Linked DNA regions of Caenorhabditis elegans. The protein of the gene in region 2 purifies or fractionates together with the protein of the main gene of each other region. This does not show direct contact. Each region holds a gene or a part of one and is shown on either strand. Other genes may lie near its edges.

Evidence for each region.
Region 1: the proteins of F36A2.3 (region 2) and dod-20 fractionate together in Caenorhabditis elegans (co-fractionation; one large-scale study listed by BioGRID). This does not show direct contact.

What each region holds. Positions count from the first base shown.
Region 1 is NC_003283.11:420,676-425,012, forward strand, and holds dod-20 (Downstream Of DAF-16 (regulated by DAF-16)), read left to right. Parts: upstream 1-1,757; 5' UTR 1,758-1,822; coding exon 1,823-2,031; intron 2,032-2,230; coding exon 2,231-2,385; intron 2,386-2,429; coding exon 2,430-2,768; intron 2,769-2,820; coding exon 2,821-2,954; intron 2,955-3,025; coding exon 3,026-3,224; intron 3,225-3,276; coding exon 3,277-3,389; 3' UTR 3,390-3,502; downstream 3,503-4,337. Other genes in the region: Y39D8A.1 (UNC93-like protein MFSD11), read left to right, coding at 1-14, 63-251, 321-492, 539-674, 885-1,079; B0554.5 (UNC93-like protein MFSD11), read left to right, coding at 3,838-4,001, 4,096-4,283, 4,330-4,337.
Region 2 is NC_003279.8:8,796,957-8,802,488, reverse strand, and holds F36A2.3 (Malate dehydrogenase), read right to left. Parts: upstream 3,705-5,532; 5' UTR 3,674-3,704; coding exon 3,611-3,673; intron 3,313-3,610; coding exon 3,218-3,312; intron 3,170-3,217; coding exon 3,093-3,169; intron 3,042-3,092; coding exon 2,935-3,041; intron 2,890-2,934; coding exon 2,791-2,889; intron 2,448-2,790; coding exon 2,295-2,447; intron 2,248-2,294; coding exon 2,097-2,247; intron 2,050-2,096; coding exon 1,943-2,049; intron 1,215-1,942; coding exon 1,008-1,214; intron 963-1,007; coding exon 903-962; 3' UTR 841-902; downstream 1-840. Other genes in the region: F36A2.2 (tRNA-dihydrouridine(16/17) synthase [NAD(P)(+)]), read left to right, coding at 1-95, 140-218, 266-366, 464-639, 689-741.

The DNA.
Region 1 (4,337 bases), on a different chromosome or scaffold from region 2:
TTTGGAGGCTCTTAGTAAGTTGCACTACTAGATTATTGTAGATCTACAGTAATCCTTTCCAGAACTCACCTGCTCGACACTGGTTTCCCCAACAATGCTCCAGCTCTTCCCGCTCTTTGTGCTCAGCGGCTTCAACACCTCATTCTGGCTCTCAGTTTTCCCGACTGCGATGAGCTTTACCATGCAGAACTCAAAGTTGATCTACCTAGCAGCAGTCTATAGTCTAGGAGTTGGTTCCGGGGAGGTTATAAGTGAGTTTTGGACAATTTTGGGGATTGTTCAGTGAAATTTTTTTTGATTTTACTAAATTTCAATTTCAGTTGGACTAGCGATCTCATTCCTCAGCAAGCGTATCAAAGATTTCGGGCAAAAGCCAACTATGACGATTGGCGCAATCTTCATCACGATGTATTGTGCCATGATCCATATGTCTACTCCGTACGATGCTCCGATTAGGCCAACTAGCAAGGAGCCACTTTTTTTTGGTCATTCGTAAGTTTAACAGGTTTTTCTTAGTAAGTAGCAAATTTAATTTCAGCTACCTTTTGGCCCTAATCATAGGCTTATTTTGTGGAATCGGAGATTGCTGTGTAAATAGTGTAAGATCAGTGATTTGTGCGTTGCTGATGCCAAAAAGAAGACCACAAGCGTTTTCAGTGTCGAAGATTTATCATGTAAGTTAACTGGCTTGAAAAACTGGGGGCGTTAAAACACATACTTGCCTGACCTTAGGGCGACCGAAAGGCCGGCGTGAGGCAGGCAGGTTCTAGGCAGTCGTCAGGCCCTGAAACCGCGCAGGCTTACCATGGAAGACCTACGCATAACAATTTTCCAACTTATGTACATTAACGTTCTACCGGAGCCACCTAGAAACCATATTCCAGGCTTTTGGATCTACGATTCTATTCTTCATGAGCCCCATCACACCACTCTACGTCTACACAATCGGCCTGCCAATTCTCGCAATCATCGCCACAATTTTGTTCTTTTCCATTTCTAAAAGAACACAAATTATGGAACGGAAAATGACGGAGGCTAGCAAAAATGCTGCAGAAATTGGAAAGAAACTTAATTTTTAATTTTTTTTAAAACAATTTTGAAAATGTCATTTTGTGTCGGGTAAACCTTGAAATTTTTTTTGAGATGATGAAAGCTTTAAATGTTATCACACACGTTATCACCTATTTTTTTGCATTTTTGCGGTAGTTCCGTAGATTTTCGAATTTTTCACTTAATACTTCCAAACTTAAATTAATTTAATTTGTTCAATTTTTTTTCGAAATTTTAGTTTTTGAAACTTCGAATTAATCTCCAATGCATTTTTCTTGCAGATCTGTCCTAGGAGATCCGTTTCCCACTCTTCCGAATTAAAATATTATATTTTGTTTGATTCAAAAAAAGAATGCTGGTTCTGATCTTTCGATCATTTAACTGATAAGCGGTTTTCTTGCGAAATTCGAAGTTTAATTTCCGAGTTATCAGTAGAGTGTGTGCACGTTGCTTTTTAATGGGATGTAAGTTGTATTGGTCTTTTTGGAAAAAAAATACAAGAGAAATGCGAAAATCTACATCCTACAAACACTAGGAACAACGGAGGCTAAAAGGTAGGCAGCTAGTCGTGATAAGGTGCCTGCCTACCCTGGTGGCCTCTCGCCGATTTATTCCACCTTATCACACTTATGTTGAAATTTTAATCTTTTTTCTGATCACCACACCTCCTCACCACCCCTCATTTTATTACTTTACATATATAAGGTAATTCCCTTGGACACATTTCGTGACTCAGTTTCAGTTGTGAAATTGCCGAATTCCAAAAAAAAAAATGACATTTTTATCAATATTTTTAATTTCTGGTCTATTTCTGTGTGGCTCCGCTCAAAAGTTAATGAGCTTGAGCTCTTTCAAAGGCACAAACGTGAAAAATAATTTCAAAGCTCATGCACCGTACAATATTTATGTGTCCGCCGACTCGGACGCTGAATTTATTCTGCAGCAGATTTTCGTGATTACCGGAAATGAGCAGAACGTAACGTAAGTTTGAGCGTACCGACCAATAAACGAGACGCAGGTGGCGGGGCCATGACCTCTAATTGGTCAACTCTAATCGCGCGCCAGTTTTGATCTACAAGTCATGTTAGCTCAAAATCGTAACTTTTTTTGGGAAACGCTCATGTGATGTTTTCGAAAAAATCGAATAATAGTTATTAACTTAAATAAAAATGCTTTTCAGACTCCTCGATCTCAAAAAAAATCTTCAAGCTTCCGGAGAAATCACTGCATTCCCGGTTCAAAAATCTGCCTATATTACGACAACACTGAGTGATAATGAATTGAAAACACTTAATGGAGTGATTTATCTCAGCTCCAGGAAACAGCGAGCAGACAGTGAGTTGTATTTTCTAAATTGCCACTTTAGATCCTTTTTCCAGCCAATTTTCACGTTTACGGTGTTTCTAAATCTCCAAACATCATCCTTAGAGGAATGGGAAACTTAAACACCACAATTTTGTTCCTTAACACCATTATGGGAACGAATCCGTCTTCAATCATCAGTCAATGGAGCCAAGACTCTACCGCCCACGCATATCTGTACACTGATTTTCCACTGGATACTGCAGAAGAAACTAATACTCAAATTTTCTCGAACCCGATGCATACTGACAAAGCCGATTTGTATTTTGCAAATGTGGAAAAATTCTCGTTGAGCCTAGTAGCATTCTATCTGAAAACTTATCGAGGTGTCAATTTCAGCATTGAACCAGGATACTGTAAGTGGAATTGAGATTAAGGTCGCAACTTAAAAAAATGAATTCATTGAAGACAGTATTGATGGAAAAAGAACATCAGCCTTCACCACTACTGGATTCTATATGAAGCCCCTGGCCAGAAATGCTAGTACCATAACTGTTAATATCAAGCGAGATGTTAGATATTCTGGAGCTTCTGGTGCAAATGTAAGTTTCATTTTGATACCAAATTGTGTGCTCCAACATCGACAACTAACTCCCTACATTTAAAAATTCAGCTTCTCGGACATGTCCCAAAGCGGGGAAAAGTCACAGTAGGCTTTTATAACGGAGATTCAAAATATGAAGAATCATTCCCTCCAAGTTACTATTTCTCTCCATGGAGCATCCCATATATTGACTTTGAAACTTTCAAAGTTTCATCCACATCCTCAAACTCAACTGCTGAATACTACTTTGTGCAATATTTTGTCGCTCGTGAGTTGTTGTTTTCTAGATTTTTTGTAGTTTGAGGTATTCGAAATTTCAGAAGGTACTCTGTTCGGTAGTCCAACTTCAGGGCCCATTCAGACGGCAACTCAATCCTCCGGAGTCGTCCAATTATTCGTGTCAATGGCTATTTCAACAATGTATTGGCTGTAGCTTTTTGATGTTGACATTTATGGCCCAATTATAATATTATTGATGAAAAACGATGAAAAGTATTTCAGCTCACAATTGCACTTTAAAATGAAACATTTGTAAAATTTTGAAATTTTGCCGATTTGCCGGAAATTTTCAATTCCGGCAATTTGCCGAGTTGCCGACTTGCCGGAAAAAATCGTTTGCCGTCCACCCCTGATCGCGTACTAAACAGACCAAAAAAGTTCAACAAACCAAAAAAAATGTGTGAAAAATTGCACAATTCTCTGAAAAACGTCTGTCATCCTTTCTCCGCCTTCCGTTTGAACTTGTTCAGCCGATTATGCAAAACTTTTTAAACTTGCCTATTAATTCAGCCTAGAACTTTCCAACTTTCCGTCACCGCAGTTTCCACTCTCCGCAAATTTTCGGTTCAAAGTTTTTGAAACTGATATTTTTGTAAAAAAAAATGAATCAACGGCGATTCGAACTATTATGCGCAGCATTGCTCGGCTTCGGTCAGCTGTGCATAATGACTGGATTCGATTCAGAGTCGTTTATTCTAGAGTCTGTAATTCATTCGATTCATGAGAGAGAACCCGCAAAAATCAGCATCTATGCTGGGTATTATGGGTGAGTGGAAAGTTCAACTGACCAATCATTGAACATTTTAAATGTTATAACTTTGGTTTATATGTACCAACAATTAAACACAAAATATTTTCAGCCAAGCCGTGATCTATGCCTTCTACATGATAGCTTGTCTATTCTCGCCCTCCATAATAGCAGTGAGCACCCCGAAAACCAATTTGATAATTGCTTCCATTTTCTTCACGGCATTCCCTCTGGGCTTCCTGTTCACCAACTCTTATTACTACTACGCTTCGTCAGCATTGCTAGGTGTTGGGTTTGCCTGTAAATTCCTATATGCTGAAAAGTTATCGAACAAGAAAAATTTCAGTGTTTTAT
Region 2 (5,532 bases):
AATATTGTTGAAGAACTTGCAAAGAGAGCAAAATCAGACGCAGAAGCAGGGAAAAATCGAGAAGTTGAAGCAAGAACACTTTTTGAAAATATTCGGTTAGTTTCACTTTTTGCAAAAACTGGATTAATGAATATTTTAGAAACGGAATACTAATGAATGCAATAGAAGTTTCAAAGCAACCCCATTGGATTTCAAAACCATACTTCAGATTGAAAGAGGTACTTTATAGACAAATAATTATGTCAGATTAAACACAATTTTACAGGTTGCAAAAGAATCGATTGTCGGAGAAGGAGAAAAGACTTTCCGAGAGAAACAGAAGGAAAAGCTTGCACAGACTGCAAAGGAAATGGGCGTATCTATGAAGTAAGACCACATTTCAAAAAGGAACTATAGTTTTTTTTAGCTTGCAACTTATTATATAACTTTTTACCAAGTTCTTAGAAACATTAATACATTTTAGACAAGCTCGTAAACGAGAACGTCGGCAACTATCAGGAGCCCGGATCCTTGAAGCAAAGAAGATCAAGTTCCCTCCATGTGCCCGTTGTGGACAACCTGCTGGACAAGGATGTGCTAATAGCAAATGCAAAAAATGTTGTAGATATCAGAGTAAACACGAATTATTGGATTGTAAACGTAGGTTTTATGAAGGCCCTGAAGTTTCAATATAATTTCCAATTTGCAGCTCATCGCTATCTCTTCGCTAGTCAACCTCCTGCTGTCAGCGCTGAAAACTGAATTCTTGTGTGATCTTTGTCCAAAGTTGACTGGGATTTTTGAATTGTTAATTTCTGTTGAATTTGTTTTTTTTCTGTTGGAAACTTTTTGAAAATATATGAATTTTAAAGAATCAATTAATGAACAATTAAAGAACGATAGGACACAATTATTTAGATGAATTATTGAGGCTTTTCGTCAACGAGTCTCATTATGACGCCAAGGCGATCCGCAAGATTTTTCTGAAAAGAGATACAATTATGAAATCTATCGATAAAAATGTTTACCAAATGATCAAGTTGTTTCTTTTTATAAACAATTCCTCCCAAATCATCACACATATTCATGTGAGCTCTCTCTGGATCTCCAGGTACTTGTGGTGGTCTTGATGGGTTTATTGGGTTAAGGTTGCGAGTTTCATCACAGAATTCTTGAAGACGATTGGAAAATCCTGGAGCAAAGCACTCTGGGTCGATGGCAACAAAACATTGTCCCTGAATTGTAAAATAGGTTGAAAAGGAAATGAATCTAGATATTTGTGCTCGGTTATTTCCATTTGGAGAGTGATTTTGTAACATGCGGGAAGATAATCAAGTGGTGCAATTTTTTCGGACAACATTTTTTAAAACCAGTTTTATGGAAGTTTCCTAATTTTTATGAATCAGTTTCAAACGATTTGAATTAAAAAAATAAATTTTCGAAATCTCAGCTGCATCGATTTAATCTTGAATTCAATGAAATTTTGTATTATACTCAATTTAAGAAATGCAACTTTCAATTCAATCCTGCAGCGCTGGGTCTCAATACGATCAAAATAATTTTAGAGTATGGAGATGTGCCTTTAAAGGGTACGGAAGTGTCTCAATCTTTATTTTTAGCTAAGTAATACTTTAGGTGTTACCTGTTTTGGGATCGTTGAAATTTTTTTTTGAAAAATACATTTGCCACATATGTAGATAAAAACATATTATTTTTCGAGGTTTTTTTTTAATGTAAATATTCCAGTTCCGCCGAAGAACCAGTTTACAGAGACAATACACTCAATCTTACGCGAAAATTTGAATTTTTCCAAAACAAAAAAAGAAACTTCATGCATTCATGCAAAAGAATGTAAACGACCAATTGACATACATACCAGTTCAATGGCACTCACCAAATCCGCGCCCGGTTTCATCGAATTTGCCTCTTTGAGCAGCGGATTTTGAGGGTTAGTATAACTCACCAAGTCCGCTGTTTTACTAGTTGTCTGCCATTGACGAATGTTTTTTCCGAATGCTGAACCACCCATAATACCACAAAGAACTTCAACCATCATACAAAGTCCAGTTCCTATAAGAATTTTTTTGTGTGTTCACATGATTCCCTTTTTTGTATACCTTTATATCCTCCAGTGATCTCAGATCCTCCCAATGGTTGAAGACCACCTCCATCAAGAACTTCCTTTGGATTATGTGTCTCATCTCCATTTTTATCAGCACCCCAGCTTCCAGGAATATACGTTTCTCCTTTACGATCAACAACTTCAATCTGGAAATTTGAATGATTTTTAATCTGAAATTCAAAACGGAACTTACTTTTCCGTAAGCTACAGTAGTCGAAGCCATATCCAAAAAGAACGAATCTCCTTCCATTCCAGGTGCAGCCATACAAATCGGATTTGATCCAAGAGACTTCTCACGTGATCCAGTCGGAAATACACATGGAGATGTATTGGTAAAAGCCATTCCCTGAAATTGCATTAATTTAAGCAGGAAACCTAAATAAGTTTTGAACGTATAAAAGAGACCATATATTAAAATGATAAGGTGATTTCTCATTGTGACTTTAGACGACCAAACATATGTCGGGTTATTACATGCATAAAAGTTCAATTAAAGGAGCAATAATACGGTCTGTCACAACAGAAAAAGTTAGATCTGAGGCTGCAGAAAATTTTCGAAATCTCTAAAGTTTAGAGTCTAAATTTTTCTAACTTCTCTTCGAGACGAGATACCGAAATTTATAAAATGTGTAACAGCGTTTCAAATTTTTCACGTCTTCACTAAAGCAAATAAAGAATTATTCGCATACCACTAAACCATTCCGACAAGCAAAGTCAGCATACCATCCAGCAATACCAAAATGATTTGAATTACGGCATACTACCCATCCGATTCCAAACTCTTTGGCCTAAACATTTGGGATATTGTATACTTGTTTTACAAAATTTTAAACCTTTTCAACAGCCAATTGCATACAAAAGTTGCCAACAACTGGACCAAGAAGATTATTTCCATCAACCCATGCAGTACTTCCCTTTGATTTCAGAACTTGTGGTGTTCCTAAATATTTGTTTTAGAATTAAAATTCTTCAAAAATGATTTTTTAACAACCTGTGACAGCAGTGGATTTCATCATTAAGTCATGAACATAGATGTGAAGTCGATTGATTCCATGAGAATAGTGACCTCTTAAAGTAGTAAACAATAATATTTATCTAAAGAAAAGAGTGAAATACCTGTAATCAGAGCATAATAAAGTCTCAGCCAGTTGTTGAGCATGATCTCCGGTACATCCCGCTTTGGCAAGACACTCGAGAACAAAACTGTCGAGCTGAAAACATCCCGCTCTTGAAATCTATGTTTGAACAGCAATGTATTTAGATTTAAGATTATGGTTTTTTCCAATTTAATATCATTACTATTTATATGAAGCGCTATCATCTCAAACCTAATTCATCGATATCGAGGAGTACAGTAAGATTACTGTAGTGGTGTGGCAATATAATGATAACGGTAACAAAATAGTTATTAAAAAATTATTCAGTCTGTCAAATTTTTTTAAGACTGCTTAGCACTGTTCATACAAAAGTTTAAATTTCTTTTGAATAGAGTTGTTTACAGTAACCCACCTTTTCCTTGCTGATCACAATTTCATCTGTTTCATTGAATTCTCTTTTGTCTTTAATAGTCATCGTTTATCCAAAGTTGAATGTTACTTTTCCACTGTAAAATACTTTTTATAATATTATTAGTAAACTATCCAGTTAAAGATCTACGAAATATGTTTCTATCGCTTATTGCCAAATTTCATCAATAAGTCTTTCAGTATTTCTATTTAGAAACTTAATTGACCGAATATCATAGTAGAATTTTTGGATCTATTTTTGGCATTTATTGAAGTCTCTAGAATTGCTGGAAATTTCTCATAAAAGTTCACATTTTCTAATTTTGACATATTACCAAAACTTGTATCGAAAATTTTTAGAAAATATAAATAGAGGAAATGTTGAACTTAATTTTAGATTCAAAATGTTGTCTTAAAATTAAAATATCCAAAGAAAAGAAAATTTTATCAATCAAATAAAATGAAAATAATTATGAGGTGATGAAATAAGATCAGACTGGCCATATTTTCAAAGGACATAAAATACATTGTGTCGTTAAGAATAAGATGATGATAATAATGATGAAATTAATGAAAGAAAAATGATAGATCTTTGAATCCGTTTTCATTTGCAAATCAATTTTGATTGATTTCGTGTTTAATTGAAGCCTTTTTAAGTTCAAAAAATCGACTGTAATTTATTTATAGACACAATTCAAGTATTCCAAAAAGTAGCTATAAATAAATAGTTTTTTATCCGAAAATCAATTAAAATTTCGCAGAAACAAGTGGGCGGAATCACAGTACTCTTTTAAAGGGGTAGACCTTTTTGAAATAAAATATTTTTGTAATTCGTCGTGTCGAGACCGGGTACCGTAGTAATTTAAAAGTATTATTTCAAATTTAAAATCTTCGCATAATTAAGCATCTAAAGAACAGTTGAAGCGAATTTTATATGAATTCTTTGAAAATCAAACAACGAAATGAATTCATTCAAATAAAATTCAAAAGGAGCGAACAGAAAAAGATAATAAAAAAAATGATGAGACAAAGAACAAATCGACTAACCCATATAGCACAAGTAATCGAGTACGTCATCACAGAAGACATAGAAGAAATAAAAAAGAATGAAAGATAAGATATCAGTGATATGAAATGATTGAAACAAAGAATATATGCTATAGGAACAACTAATCTAATCGAATCGGCAAGTGCAAACTGAAAATCTTGAAATAAAATGATTTTTACAGATTCATAAATTGGCAACACTTCTAGATCTTTTTTTTTTGAAACAAAACAGATTAATTTCTAAACAATATCTCCAGTTAAAAAATTGCAATATCTACAATAACTATAATAAACACGGGTTACAACCTATTTTCTCATTGAGAAAAAATTGAGTCGACTTACTTCCTTCCCAAAGAATTCCTGACAAACCTGGCATTTTAATGTTGAAAATATGTTTCTTTTTTGAAATAAAAAATATCCAATAATATTCCTTCCATAAAAGGGGCGGGCCAAATAACTGGTTCAAAAAATGATCTACGGCCTATTTTTAAAATGAAATTGTGTACCTGTTTGAAATCATAAATACCGAAAAATTGATTTGATTATATTTTCTTTTAAATTTTCATTCGAAATTCAATGAGTCAAAGTGAAATGTATGAAATACGATTGAACAAAACAAAGGCTGAAAATGAGTTGAAAGCGGCGGTGAAAACCTCGAATTTGGATGTGAGAATTACAAAAAAGTGGGTAAAAGAAGAATGCACAAAAATTGGAACCTGTAGTATAAAGTCGAAAAACTTGACCAATAAGTTAGGTATAGTACATGGAAAAACTGAAGCACCGTCTTGGGGGGAATGGGAGATAATGAATAATACAAATTAAGGGAAGTGTTGGGTCAGAGGGAAATGAAAGAAGTAGGAGTGGAAAAGGCAAGATGGA